Linked DNA regions of Caenorhabditis elegans. The protein of the gene in region 1 purifies or fractionates together with the protein of each later gene. This does not show direct contact. Each region holds a gene or a part of one and is shown on either strand. Other genes may lie near its edges.

Evidence for each region. Proteins that work in one complex are often made in the same cells at the same time.
Region 2: the proteins of sup-12 (region 1) and fox-1 purify together in Caenorhabditis elegans (affinity purification with western blotting, with the first as the bait; one study listed by BioGRID). This does not show direct contact.

The regions. Positions count from the first base shown.
Region 1 is NC_003284.9:3,901,426-3,909,376, reverse strand, and holds sup-12 (RRM domain-containing protein), read right to left. Parts: upstream 4,787-7,951; 5' UTR 4,739-4,786; coding exon 4,657-4,738; intron 4,464-4,656; coding exon 4,306-4,463; intron 3,887-4,305; coding exon 3,757-3,886; intron 3,569-3,756; coding exon 3,499-3,568; intron 3,239-3,498; coding exon of another isoform or gene 3,223-3,238; exon of another isoform or gene 3,193-3,222; intron 2,564-3,192; coding exon 2,403-2,563; intron 2,332-2,402; coding exon 2,186-2,331; 3' UTR 1,706-2,185; downstream 1-1,705. Other genes in the region: T22B2.5 (Neur_chan_memb domain-containing protein), read left to right, coding at 1,200-1,233.
Region 2 is NC_003284.9:2,451,067-2,458,473, reverse strand, and holds the start of fox-1 (Sex determination protein fox-1), read left to right. Parts: upstream 1-2,524; coding exon 2,525-2,605; intron 2,606-7,407. UniProt on the Caenorhabditis elegans protein: RNA-binding protein that regulates tissue-specific alternative splicing events by binding to 5'-UGCAUG-3' and 5'-GCACG-3' elements. Also binds to poly(A), poly(G), poly(C), or poly(U) stretches of RNA.

The DNA of each region.
Region 1 (7,951 bases):
ACCAACATCGTACAAGATTCAGTTAATACAGGGTGGCCCATAACTATGCGGACCGCAAGTCGTACTCATAAAATCTGATTGGAACATTCAAAAATATGATAACAACACATATTTTATTTCAAATTTTCTAAGGAACAAAATTTGTTGTCAAACTTTCAAATTTTCCGCTTGTGAAATTCTACAGGCCTGCTGACATTCCTAAAAAATTTTGACGTTGGCACGCAACTCATTGGTGTTCTCCTTTTTGTTGTCATTTCTAGGTTCTATTGCAAATATCATCACTTTAGCAATCATATTTGGATTGACTTTTTTCTGAGAATCCGTTTTGCAATAAAATTCATAAATGTTTTCATCTGACATTGATGTGGTCATTGATTGAAGGGAGACAAATCAAGAACATCAGAAAGCCGACGTTCCACTTGGCACATCAGTTATGTAAAAAGTGAATGTTTTGATAAATAGCCATATGATTCTACTAATATTTTTCTTTCCTTGTGGCAACAATTATGTGCTTATCTCATTTTATGGCTGATATATACCAAAAACTGTCACTAGCTATTGAACTCCTTGTAAAATCGGCTGTAGTTACTGTCAAACAATCACCCAACAGGAGCTGGAATTTCATGGAACCAATTCCATATACTTCAACATTTATTAAAATATATTTTTCGCTTCCAAAATGTATACATTACTGTAGAAAAGATCGGTTTCGAAATTTCCACACTCAAAAATCGATGCGTGTCAAAGAGTCGTCAGTGTGGGAGATGATGCTAGTTTGACGACTCTGCCTAGATTGCGTAGTTTAACAAATCACATTTTTTTAAAGTTAGCTAATAGGAAAACATGTCAGCTATCAATGAACAAATAAAACAAAAATTTAAAATTTGTCAGGCGAGAAAAAAACATATTTTTGTGAGAGCAACTCGGTCCGCATAATTATAGGCCACCCTGTATTATTATCTCCTCATTTGTTTTAAATTTCTAATTAGATATCTAAGAATGCGAAGATTTATAAACAAAATCCCCTCACCATACTCAATTTTAAATATTGTTAGACTTTCTAGTCTTTGAACTTCATTCGAAAAAGTTTCAGAATATTTTAAAAATTTAATCATTCTATCGTGCTTTAAAAAGGGTTTTAAAATTGAGAGATGGGATATTTGGAACGGTAGTTTAATTTTATAACGTTTTGTTTTCAGTGGTGGCCAAAATGTCTCGAGCAGCTTAAAATAATTATTCTCTACCCTCATTTCGGTTAGTTATTCTACTATTTACTATTTGTAGATGGTTTCTCAAGGCATTTCAATTTTTTTTAATTTTCAGCCTGAAATGTCATTCGGAAGTGTTCAATGTCATCTACTACCACTACTATCAGTTTTAGAATTTACAGGATCGACAACTTCAATCAGTCAGGATATTATATTTTCAGAGCCAGTTTTTTCTTCTTTCACAGGTTCTTTTCCCTATTTTTTTGGATGGAAAAAATTCGTCAAAAAATTATCATTCATTCTAAAAGTATCATTCTGCCTAGTACTGTATTTTTTGTTTTAAATTCGATCTACGAAACTACAATATAGTATTGCATTATTTCTTACTGTTTGCCAAGATGACCTAATGCTGCAACTAGTTCCTGTTGTATCCATCTGCCTTCTGTTTAAACCCCCGTTCATTACAACTACTTCCAGTTTCTGCATCACACGTGATTAGGTTTTGAAATCGGTTTATTGTAAACATTAAATGCAGGAACATGTACGACTATTACGAACTCACCATATGAAATTAATTTGCAAATTCAATGAGGATGTGCAAATGGCACATTAAAATCAGGCAACTCTGGCGTTTCGGGAAAAAATTGAGAAGAAAAAACATCGAACGTGTAGAAACCCACATCAGAGATTTGTAATTTGAAATGAATAAGAAAAAAATTGACAAAATCAAAAAGAACTGTGACTAAAATTGTAAAGTATATGGGAATAAAGTTGAAATTGGAAGACTAGATAGAACTGTTTGATTTGCGTAAGAATCTGATATTTGGGTAGGACAAAGTTGTAAAATTATCAGTATAACTCGGGCAAATACCTATGTTCTCTATTGGCAAAATCAGTTGGCGAATTATTGCTGGGACGACAATGACAATCGGTTTTATGAATGAGTGAATGACAAATTGAAGAATATTATTAGGATTCTAGACACGTTGATGCTCAAGCTGTTGTTGTGCGGCAGCTAATTGTTGCAACTGTGGGTTTCCAATATTGTAGGCAGATTGGGGAACTAGGCCGTATCCTGCTGGATAGGCGGCGTATTGCTCAATTGTTGTAGGGGCGGCTGCGACTGAAAATGTTTTATTAAATTTGAAAAAAAAAAATTTTTATTTAATTTTAACTTCCTATCGTCGAACATACATTTTCCTTGGGACTGAATACCATAAGCGGCGGCAGCTTGTGGGTTCATTACTGCGGCCAGAGCATTATAATCGAACAATTGTTGCTGAGCAGCGGCTCCTTGTTGTGCCATCAACGGATTGACCAGTCCTGTGACAGTCGGATAATACATTTGAGGAAGTCTAAAAAAAAGTATTGATTAATTACCGAACACGGAATTGACAGGAGGATGTAAATGCCAAATGCTGGAAATGAGGCAACAGTGTTTATCACAATATCACCCAAAAAACACGCACATGCGTGATAAAAATTCACTTTTTTTGGTTCTGGAAAGTATAATTATTTTTGTTTTTGTTTTAACAATATTAAGAAACTCCACATTTTTTCAGTTCAGTTTTTTTGAGTTAGTGCAAAAGAAATATCTAACATATTTGGATAGAATGAAAAGTAAAATCATTGACAACTTCAAAATTCCAAAAAAAAAAGTATCAGAAAAGACGTAACCAAACTATAGCAAAGTTTAGAAAATGCGTGATGGTTTTAGTTAGGCAGCCAAACCCATTGACCTACAAAGAAATAATCATCAATCCCACCAATGAAGAAAACAACTTTGGGGTGCTCAGTTCATTCAGGACTATGCAAGTTTTCACCAAGGGAAAAGAGAAAAACTCGAAATCATATAGGTTTGGGAAATAGGTGAAAATGAAGAGAAAGAGAGTATGGACACGTCAAAAACACAGCACTATTGTATTCCGCTTTTGGTTTGGAAAATGAAAGTAATGATATTGGCACACGTCAAAGCACGCCTAACCTTTAGTTTTAGGCATCCACGGATTTCGATTCAACCGGCCACTTGTCTTAAAATATTTTGGTTTACAATCATTAATATTATTTAAGTTATTATTAAACGTGTGAAGATGGTTGAACACAAGAGTACTTCTCAAGTATCCTAGGCAACTTTTGAGCTAGAGCACAAAGTTCTACAGTGTTTTGTCATTGCTGTTGTTGTCGTGTTGTTTCTTTTTTCTGTATCAACACAACTCAATTAGCGGTGATTTTTGGATGAGATAGGAATTGTTGGAAGTATGTCACACACAGGCAAATCACCGAAACTTACCCCATTCTTGGTTGAAACAAAGCCTGAAGTTGAGTGGTGAGTGGAAGTTGAACTTGTCCAGCGGCCAGCGCTAAAATGACCAACTTGGTGATTTTGGTTAACACAGACAAAAACTGAATAGAGATGCGCGACACAAACAATATCCTTTGGTTATGAAGGTTGTGGAGGATTGATAATGTTTAGCAGAAGCCAAAACACACGGGGAGAATAAAATGATCTGAGAGCTGCTCAAGAGCCGCACAAAAATTCGAAACTTACCAGCAAGTTGCACATTTGTTCTTGGTTTAGCTCCGAGGTATGCCAAGTTGACATTAGCCTTCCTTCCATCAATGATTGGATTTGGATCTTTACAAGCTCTTTCTGCAGAAGCACGGTCCTTCATTGTTACCTGAAAAGTTATGTTTCATTAACAAACATATGTAAAGATCATGTTTTTTTGCGAAGAGTAATCTTTCCATCTTTGCTGTTGCAACTATTTGTTGAGATATATATGGTTGGGAAATGTTTGCTAACAAAATACGCGTGCGATTCCTATGAAGAGCCGCTTGAGAGGTCAAAGCAGAACCGCGAGATTTCGGAAATTTGAAGATTTCTTCATCCACCTTGTTCCCGAATTATTTTCCAATTTAGTGAAGTTAAATCAAACGAAATTGTTTCCTCTTTTATCTGGACGGACAAGATAAAAAATGGTTAATCATGTCAAAAGTGATTGATGATTAGAAACCGTTTCGTTTCAATTGACCTCCAACGTAAGATCTCGTGAAAAAATATCGCAAACTAGAAATTTTTGACATTCCAGTGACTTACAAATCCATATCCTCTGCTTTTTTGTGTGTTACGATCAGTGATGACTACAGCCTCTTCAATATCTCCAAACTGCTCAAAATACTCGTGAAGCGTCTTGTCACTTGTATGGTATGGCAGACCACCGACAAAGATTTTGGTGAACATGGTATCACGGGAACCTGAAAATGAATGGAGATGAACTAAAAAATTTGAAATATTTCCAGTTTCTATTCCTATCGCAAGTCTTCTTTTAAGTGGAACCATATGTGAGGTTACACACAAAAGTTGCATACCACTGTCATTTTTCCCTATCTTTTTCCCTCTCTAAACCATCATCATGTGACAATTCGATGGGGATCACAGGAAACTCACCAACTACTGGTTCGGCGTTGGTTGATTGTGCCAAAGCAGCGGCAGCAGCATGCACCAGTGGATCTTGGACTTGGCCGTACATTTTTTACTTGATTTATATAGGGCCTAGCTTAAATACCGTGAAATTGACCTGCAAAATGTTTTTGTTTGAAGTTTTGTATATATATACATAGAAATATGAGAAGTTTATAAACGATAATTTAAAAAAACATATACAACATCGAAGGTGTGAATCAATAGGAAATGAGCTAGAGCCAACATGAAACTGAAAACTTTACACTGCTATTATCTATCACTCGTCATGATCAATGAGTTATCAGAGACCTTACTTACCTCAGAGACCACATAGGTAGAGATAGTGAAAACTAAACGAAAGGCGACAAATCGCGAGAGAGAGATAAAATAGAAATGGATAAGAACGAGCCGACGAAAAGCTCGCGCGCGCACAAAATCCGTAGGTCTGTCTCCGGTGGTGGGTGAGCCTGTCAAAGTTTTGCTGCTCTCCAAACAGAAGCCAACCACCGCCCGCCTGTCGTCGCAAAAATTGACTCTTTCTTTCCAACACTCTTCCCCCCGGTCAATTTTTGCCATAATATTTCACCACAATGAGCCGTTGCGCAAATAACACCACCTCTGGAGTATCGATTTATGTCATGCTGATCCAGAAAAAAAAGATTGAAATCGATGAAGAGAAATAAAACGCGAAATAACAACAGAGCTCAACTGACAACGAGTGGGTGGATGTTGGGATGAAGTAAAAGAAGAAGGAGGAGAAGAATAAGAAGAAAGAAGGCTCAATCAAAGGATGCGACAAGGAGAAGTTGCTCCAAGAAGAAAAGAATAGAGACAGAATGAAGAAATAATCCATCTCTGATCACATTGCATTCATGATGTGGTGGTGGGAAATACAGAATAATACTTATACTGTAAGATGTTATTTGGAAAACAATTACGAACTGCAGTATAATTTTTTGTTTTTCTTTTTCTGTGTGAAATTTTAGCTGAGAGGAATGTACAGAGGATTTTGAATTTGGCGGCGATTCAAAAATGAAACAACCATTTGTTTGTGCCCAAAAATAGCAAAGAGAGCCCAATTTGTTGCGATGCTACAAAAAAAGAAAAAAATACCGTTCGCTCAATGTGCTCGGACTAAGACGTTCGCATGTTTGGACAATCCGAGAAAGGCAGCGAAAACAGTGGGAGGCAAAAGAAACAAACTGATGCTCTCCTCCTCCCGGGGGCTAGTCTTGTTTTTCGGGAATACAATTGCTTCAAATCTGTGCGTTTCGAGTATGGGAGTCTTTACCGCCCCTCGTCCTCACCGCCTGATTAAACAATTGGAGGACTTGGAAAGCTGTTGTTGAACGACGCAGAGCACTCTGAATATGGCGGTTCGTCACATTTACATGGAAAAACTTTAAGGATTCTTATGTGAAGTGCCATGTGCATTGAAAATATGGGAAAGTGTTGAAGATTTGAAACCCGGACGTGGTGGTGTTTCTCATCATATCAGTTTATCTTCGATAGTAAGCACAGAGACCGTATAAACCATGCAGAGAGGAAATTTCACTTTTTTATGTTATTTATGTCCGTCCGCAAAACTTCGAAGACACATGACTGAATGAAACTGTTTGTTACAAAATGATTGATTAGAGGGGGGGGGGGGGGGGGTAGAACTAAAACTGGAAGGGCTCTGAATACCAAATACCAGAACCAAATTTTTTACTAAAGGTGAAGAAGCTTTACAAATAGTGGGGAAAAAGGGGATACCATCGAGTTTTTGCAACTTTTTGAGAAAACTATAGCACTGTCGCATGTTCAAATCCGTACAATGTGTGAATATTAATAATTAAAACTGATGGAGACCATCAAACTGTAAGGAACATGTTTCAATCGATGACTTCCAAAAAAGTGGCAAAAACTGAGTAGTAACTACTTTTCAAAACAAAATAACAAAATTTCAACAAATAAAAAATTTTTGACACTATTTGATGAGCTTTTAACAATTTACATACTAGCTAGCATCATCTTGAATGATTCAAAATTAAAGAGAGAAAATAAACAAGCTCAGGTGCATCAAGAGCAGTCAGCTGAGTTTTTTTGCCGGATGAGCGCCAGCAGGAGTAGAAGAAGAAGGAGGTAGCAAAAATATATTTCGAGTGAAAAGAAAACTGGTCTTAAAGGCGGTTGGTTCATCGCCCCGAAAACAAATAGGCCAAGAGCCAACGAAAAAGTGCGAGCGCGAGCCGTTGAAGAACGAACGAAACATGAAACTTTCCCCGGCTCGAGGCCTACGGCCTGGATCGGGAACAATCTACTGAATTGCTTCACGCGGCGCGAAAAACATGCATTTTTCCATCACCGACGACGTGCGCACTGATGATGTCTTAGGGCATGCCTTTGATAACGGCGGCAGATGCCAAACCTGCTGATGTGGTCGCAAAAGAAATAAATAAAAAGTCAATTATGATTACGCGTGTTTTCGGCAATCGTCTCATTTATTTCATCTTCCTTTCTTCGAAACACCAGGAGAAAGTGACAGAATGAGTGAGGGAGGGGGGGGGGGGGGGCCCGGGGAGGGTTAGGGCAGAAACATTTTGAGACTTGTAAACAGTTGACATCTCTACCAGTGCAATAAATATACATGTTGAGCTCCTGTAAGCCACTCTGGTGGTCCTCTGGCAAGCAGACGCACCAGATGCCTGCGCAGAACAAATGTCGTAAGAATCGTGAGGCGATGGAGTGGCATAAAGGATTCATAGGGCTGCTGTGTTAACTGCTGGTACCAGCAGCAGCCTAAGATTATCATTCCACGAAACAGTAGTCTAATGCATAGATTAGGAGAGGCATACATTGGTGATGAGGAACGTTTTCTAATAACTGAAAACAAGAAACGAAAGAAAATGTCAGGAGAAACTTGTGATGGTGGAAAAATTTCATAATGGTTGAGAATAGAAAAAAGTCATTTACTTCCCGAATGCACAAGAAGTTCTAAACAAATTGGAAATACATTGTTTCACTTCTAAACATTTCTCAACTAGCTCGCCTTTATTTCATTTAACCTCTTCTTTTCAAAATACTCCAACCTCATCTCTCTCTCTCTCTCCCTCTCAATTTTCAATCAGTATCTGGAGAAATTCGATTTGCTGCTCCTATTGTGCAGAGAATTTCTAAGAGACCCCTAAGAGAGTGAAAATACGACACCGTTTCGAATGGATAGAGTCAATTGCGATGGAATGTGATGCGGTTAATCGAGCGAAAAGTGAGACGAGATGGCTGAGAACTGTAACCAATT
Region 2 (7,407 bases), 1.4 Mb from region 1:
TCCATTCCGAAAGAAAAACGGAAGAAAAATTTTAATGTGACATTCAAAACGGATCTCATTTCCATTTCGGAGCTTTGACTCCTCTTGTGGGTGAGCAAAATTGGAATTCAAAATTTCCAATTTAAAACACGGAGAAGGCAGAGCTGGAGAATGTTGGAAACTAAGCCTACATTCCTCCAGGAGTACCACCACGTTTAGTACGCCTGATTTGATACGGGCATATGAGCACGCGAGCAAAGACCGTGAATTCATTTCGATTCACGTGGACCTCTTGGATTAACCAGTGTGCCGAACCAGCACCCTCCTCAAGCCCCTATTCGATTACACTTCTCTCTTTTCCACCACCAGTCTTATTTATTTCAAATCAAAGCACTACTCGTTTTCTTCTTTTTCTTCTGCTACTTGGCTCCTCCTTCCTCACCCATCGTTAGCGGTACACAAGTTTATAGTTTATAGTTTATTTAAGCACATTTAGTCATATAATTCATAATGTTTTTCTAGTACTGTTCATATAAAAGTTTGCCAGTGATTTATCAGAAAGAGCCTCAGAAAGAAAAAAAGATTTGAATCTTAATGAATCGGAAAGTTGAAAGCACAAATACACTGAGATGGGGCAAGAATTCATTATACTTTCCGTGTTTTGTTATTTACTGAAATGCTCCCAATTTTCCCTAGATATTGCGTTTCTCCGTCTTGAAATCCGAATACCTCCTTCTCCTCCTCCTCCTCACTTGATTCCGTGTAGGACTTGTGAGGCTCGCTGGCAAAACTCCGGAAATCAAACAAGAATCGCGTTTCTTTTGCTCCTCTCTCTCTTCGTCCTTTTTTGTTCACAAAATCTAATTTGAAGAGGCGATTAAAGGTGTTGAATTGAAAAGGAACGACGTCATCTTGCTTAATCTGGCGGTCAAATCATTTTTTTAATCTAAGTTTTGTTTTCGGTAAGCTTTGGTTTTTTCAACAAATTTCCGGATTTTGTGTGGGCGGTTCGGGAACTTTTGAATGTATTAACCTAAAATATGCCCGAATGAACATGATGAATCTTCTCAAAAAAATTTTTCAAAATTTTTATAACACGGTTCAAAATTTCGAAAAAATTTGGCTCGAATTAAGTTAAAATCGCAAGTTTTCAACACTGTTTTGCGCCCAAAAAAGCGCCAAAATTGAAAATTATGGGTGAAATTAGACCTTCTTTCTATCGAAATTTTGAACCTTTATGAAAAATTTATGAAAATTTTTTGAGCAATCTCATTACCAAAATCGTTCTTTTGAGCGAATTTCGAGCTTATACGTTCCAAATTTCCCTAACAGTTAGTCCACTTGTAAGGAATTTTCGATATTGCTGAAAACTCTAATAGCGAAATAATAGCGGTAGTATGTATTGTCATATTTTTCAAAATTTTTAGTTCAAAGTTTTCCACAAAAAAAGTTTGCCTCTTGAGAAATTTCTAACATTTCTGCAAGTTTGAACTTCTGTGATGCTAAATTTCAAACAATTACTGCATAATCGGAATTTCAAAAATCCAAAATTTTTTTTAGGATTTTCAAAGTTATTATAGGGAAAAACTGATCTTGTTTTACTATAAATTTTGCATCTTTGAATGATTTTAAACAATTTCACCACTGGCTAGACATTTTAGCCTATTTCGAATTCCCAAGCTGCAATCTGAAAACCTTTTTTTTTCGAAGTGATCTGCGTTGTGACGGTTTGCAATATTTTCTTGTAATTCCTATTTTCAGGATTCGAGTTTTTTTCCCTACAAGACATATACTTCCCGTATGTTAATATTACCACCACTCCCAGAATAGCTAATATGATTAGTAGGTAGTGCTTTTAGCGCACATCTGTAAAGATGGTGAGAGCGTAGGGACGAAGACGACATTGGGACAGCGGCCACGCCCATTTCCTCTCAATTAATAAGACGTGCCTCTGAGCACACTTTTGCGCCATCCTTTCCCGTGCTCTTAACGCTCAGAAGTCAGTAGTGACCCTACTAACAACTCATTGAGAAAGAAGACGACGACAACCCGTGGGGGCAAAGTGGTCACACAAGTAAGAAACCGCGCCCCGTTTTCGTGTCTGTCGTGTGTCCCGCTATCCGTCCGGCGGGTCTAGTCCGTCTTTCCTGCTCCTTATTTGTGACGAATTGTCAGAAGGAAGAAAACGGAGAAGAAACAGCAGCAACAGCAGAAGAAGCAACTAGAAGCAAAAGCAGAAGCCGACAAAGAAGAAGAAGAAGCCTAAGGCCGTGTGAGCTGCCCCTCCGAGTTGTGTTGCGTGATTCGCCACTTCTTTGGATGAGGCCAATTGTGGTGTGACATACAGACACACATCGCATAAATACTGCCCCCCCCCCCCTTTTTTTTCAACCATTCCGTTTCCGACACGACGACTGACTCTTCAGTCAGTCATTCCTAGCCGTCCACGCTCGCCACCACTTCCCCGTCGCCCTGTTTTCCACAAAATTATTTTTCTAGTCTTTCCTTCTACTACTCTGGATACTGTAGCGCCTCTTGCTGAAACATGGCTGAACTAATCGAAGAGGTGAGCACTGCTACTCACGCTTCTCTCAATGCATGTGACCCGATTGTAGTGAATTCTGAGGTATGTTTTTTAATACTAATTTTTGTCTTGAAATTGGTCATGACTGAACGTTTCGAAAAGTTGGAAAAAACCATTGGGGCCTAAGGGTGCGCGGCAATTGCCGACCGGCAATTCTACAAAATATGACAGTTGGGCATGAGCTTTTGCATTTAAATTTAAGGATGTAATCTGGGAATAAGTATGAGTTCACTTGAAGCAACCGAAAAAACACACAAAAATCGACACATTTTCCGGAAATTTTCAGCAGAAATTTTCAATATTCAGACGATTTTTGAAAAATTCTCCACAGATATTTTCAAAAAAAAAAAAACCAAATATTTTTCTATATTATATCATCAAATTTTAATGAAAAATGTCGAGCCAACTGTCTCATTTCGTAGAATTTATTGCCGTGAACTTCTAATTGAGACTTTTTTTGCAAATCTAACTTCAACTTCAGTTTGTTGGTCGGAATGTGCACTTTTTAAGTGAGTTAGCTGCGTGTGAACCGAAAGACTATTCTAATCCAGTTTGCTTCCTTTTTTCCTCTTATTTTGTTTTGGGCTCTTCTTCAGTAAAGGCTCCATAGCATAGCTTTTTTTAATTTCGCAATTCTTCTCGTTTTGCCCATTTTGTCTTGCCAAAACAATAATGCGACTTTCCGACACAAAATTGTGTGAGAAATCTCGTCATTTTACCGCATCTCGACCTTCTCCTAAATGTTTTCGCAGCTGCTTGTGAGCCATCAAGAAAGGCAGAAGCTGGCAAACGGGAAGAGACGAAGGCTCACCCTTACTCAACGATAATTAGATGAGTACATGGATGTGAGATGGCTTCTTCCTTTTATTTGTGCTAGAAAGAAGACCGAAACATTGAAACACTCGCGCAGCACCGAACATTCAGGATTGCGAGCGGATATGTGCTGTGCGAATTGAAATAAGCGGAAAGTAGTGCAGTAATGAGAAATAGTGACCTCAACTACCTCAACTAGTCAACCATAGAAACGAGAATATCACGCAATTTACGCGGCAATTATACTACTGGATAGTTGAGGGGAGATGTCAAAAGGGGCATGACAACCAAAGTCAGCGTCAACTAGTGTTTTCGTTTCGACAGTTTCTATCTGTTTTGTGTGAATCGCGGAAAACTTTCCAACATGGAGTCTAAATTGATTTGTTATACCAAATTTGCGTACTGTTGATGGAAATTCGGAGAACTGGTTGTGTTTTTCAATATTTCCCGGTAGTCAAGTTTTGAAGTTTTTTAATTGAACATATATCATTGTGCCAAGTTTGGCAGATTTGTTCGGCAAATATTAGTATTTTCGGCACTCATTAAACATTTTGTCCAAAAATAAAAGTTTTGATCAGATATTTTATGAAAAAAAAAACATAGCATAGTGTTTTTATATGTTTTATTTAAAAAAAAATCGACACGTGCATTAGGCACACAATAAACGAAAATTATTTGTTTTCCATTAATTTTGACACTTTTTGAGCTCAAAAAAACATTTCAATTTACCGAGTTTGAGAACCACGGAAAAGGTGCCTAATTTGCCGAATTTCTCGAGTTCGGCAAATATTCAAACAAAAAAAATTTGCCGAACTTGTCGAGCTCGGCAAATCTCAAAGTTTGCCGCACACATTTGACACAATCCCTGAATGTGTTTCAAATTTTGTAAGGATATTTCTCAAAAATACAAAGTCTGTGACACAGAAAAGTGACCAAAATCGGGAAGTTTAGCTAAAATTGGGTTATTTTTTTTCGAAAATTTGCACCGCCTACATTTTAGAAAAAAAATTGAGCAGTTTCATAACATGTACGTTTAAAATGCCACGAGCTTGCGATTTTGCTTATATCTATCCCATTATGAAATTTATCGATGTTTTGTAAAGAAATTCGAAATATATATATAATGAAGCAGATTAAATCCAATCCCCTTTTCGTTCTGCCTCAACAATAGGTTATTCTCATATATTTCTATAATCAGAAGGAAAACAAATGGAGAATAATGTGGCACAGAGGAAAAAACAAGCAACCCAGGTTGACATCCAGCTTGGCTTGAATAATCTGGAACCTTTGGTCCCTCTATTGTTTCCTGCTCAATGTGTGTTTCTTTTTTTTCCTTGTTGTCGTTCAATGTACAAGGAATATTTACTTACGTTCATCATGTTTTGAGAACAAAATTGTTTTGCTTTGTTGTTTCTTTCTATCCAACCAAAACTTTTTGATTTTTTGGCCGCCATAGTTTTTGTATACAGTGTTGGCTAAAAAGGTACTCCTGATTGCAACTCTGAAACTGGAAAAATTTATTGCTCGTCACTATGTTTTTTTTTGTTTTTAAAGCGGCCGACATCTCGTAAGCCATTTCAACTCTTATATCTTATTTTTCTGACTGATTAAACAAAACGAAAAGTATTGTAAAGATAAATTTACTATCACAAACTTTCCATTAAAAATGTGGGTTTTGAGTTATCATCAAAAATGGATTCACGAAATGTCGGCGGCTTTATTTTTCGCCATGATTTTTGTGTAAAACTCAAACACCTAAAACAAGTAAACATAGTCATGGGAAATATTTTGATCATTTTTCAACAACTTTTATAGTTTCCGAGTTTTACTACTGTGAAAATTCAGCAGAACTACCAAACAACTATTTTTGGCCAGCACTATGAGTTGCAATATGATGACAGAAATTGTATACAGTTTTGATATTAGATACTTTATTATTATTATTATTCACAACATCCAAACCTGGTGCCCTTATCGACCCGTCTGCCACTAATAATTCCCAAGTCCCCCAGCGTTCTACATCCACTGCTCGCTATATTGCGTGCACACAGTCTCTCTCGTCTTCTGAAATAGACGAGCCATTGTCGTCTTCCTATTCGCCCTCTTGGGGGATGACCTGTTCGGTCATGCAGCAGATCGCGTCTCCCCTCATCTCTGTGTGTTGTTTCCAATTGCGCTCTCATCGTTCATCGATTTGGTGCAAAGACATCTGTGCATTGCGCGATACGTACCACATGTTCTCATCCACGCTGTTCACTTGCATATATCTACATCTATTTTTTTAATAGTTCCCTCTTCGTTTCACATTCCCACTTTCCGCTTTTTGTCTAGATTTTTCTCTTATTTTTTATTTTCAAAATCTGGTTCCACTTTTGTCGTGCCATTCTTCACTAGCCACCCAACTGATTTCGCGCCGTTCGTTACCCATCTCTCATCTGGTCACCACCCGCTGCGTCGGTTTCATGTAAATGCGCTCAAAACATCATCGATGAAAATGAATTGGAAACAAAATAGCTTCTCACACCCTAAGTCACTATGTTTTCCAACAACTGTTCACTTTTGCTGTGAATTTCGAAGATGCGTCACCTGAGAGAAAGGGCAACTGCTTTTCAAATCGTGGTGTCGTTTTCTGTCTGGAGTTTTGATGAGTCCTATCAATAAGCTTCATGATTTATGACAGTAGAAACCTTTTCCGGCTCCGTTCCTGGTTCGATTTTCAGTGGCCCCGTGCTCTAGATTATTTTTAGATGGTTATCTACCTTACGTAGTTGCACAGTCCATTCCTCATTTCAATATCTCCTCTCTCAAATTAAAATTTCATAATTCTAATATGTTCGAGAAAATATTAAAGTTTTGTTGAAATATTAATACAATTTTTCCAGTTCACCTCCTTTGAACTTTTCCTACTGCATCACCAACCACCCCGCACCACTACGGCTACATTTTGTTCTCCCCAGATATTGACCGTCTAGTCAAAAAAAAGTGTTCTCAATTTTGAAAGTTATTGTTTTTTTTTCGAAAAAATTTTATTTTGTATTTCTTTTCCAGCATCAAAATCTGTAAGCCTTCCGATCCTACAGTTATCTCCCCCACTGTTTTTACGTTTCCTTCTCAGGGGCTATCGTCTCCCTATTTGACATCCCTGTCATCGAGTGTTTATATTAATAGAGGTGCAGCTAAAACAAAAAAAAAGGGGGGGGGGGCAACAAAAACCTAGTGACGCACAACTTGTAAAGGTCAGTTCGACTGTGTTGGGTAGTAAACTGTGCGCAGTAGTCTCTCTCTCTTGATCCATATGGTCGAAACGCAAACTCATCCCTCTTATCGACCGCCGCGAATGTCTCCGCAAGTTAAGGTGAGCCCATCAATTGAAATATAATTCAAATTTCCGATTTGCGTTAGGCTGAGCACATGAACATGACGTTATGAATTACTGCTGATTGAGTATGACAGATATAACTATTTCAAGGCAAAAATGCTTCTTTTTTTTAAGACTAAATTAAGAATAATCGATATTAATATTATCTTTCAAGGAGAAGTAACACTTTTAAACTGCTCAAATTGTGCTCAAAAAAACTAATTTCGTAAATTTTATGACTTGTCAATAATTGGAAAAAAATGGCCTAACTTAATTATTCGAACCAAGTTTTGAGAAAATCTGTATATCCACGAGTATAACGGCAAAAACAAAACAAAAAAAATCTCATTTCGTCTAACTCTACCGCCTCACCGCACCAGATATGTGCTCCTCTGCCTCTTTGTCAGTGTCGAGCCTTCCAACATAACGAACCTATCAAATTCAATCATCTATCTCCCCACATATTCTCGCGCGCTGCCTGAATTGCGCCATGGCAGCTGCTCCCCCAAAACATCGCCTCAGTGTCTTCCGCTTCGCCCAGTCGCCGCCGTCGTCGTCGTCACACCGCCATTCTCTCGCAAACCACCCCACCAATATTCCACGATTCAACTCTCCAAAATTCGGGTGTTGCCAAAATTAGAGAATGTTGGCAAAGAAGACAATCAGTTTGTGT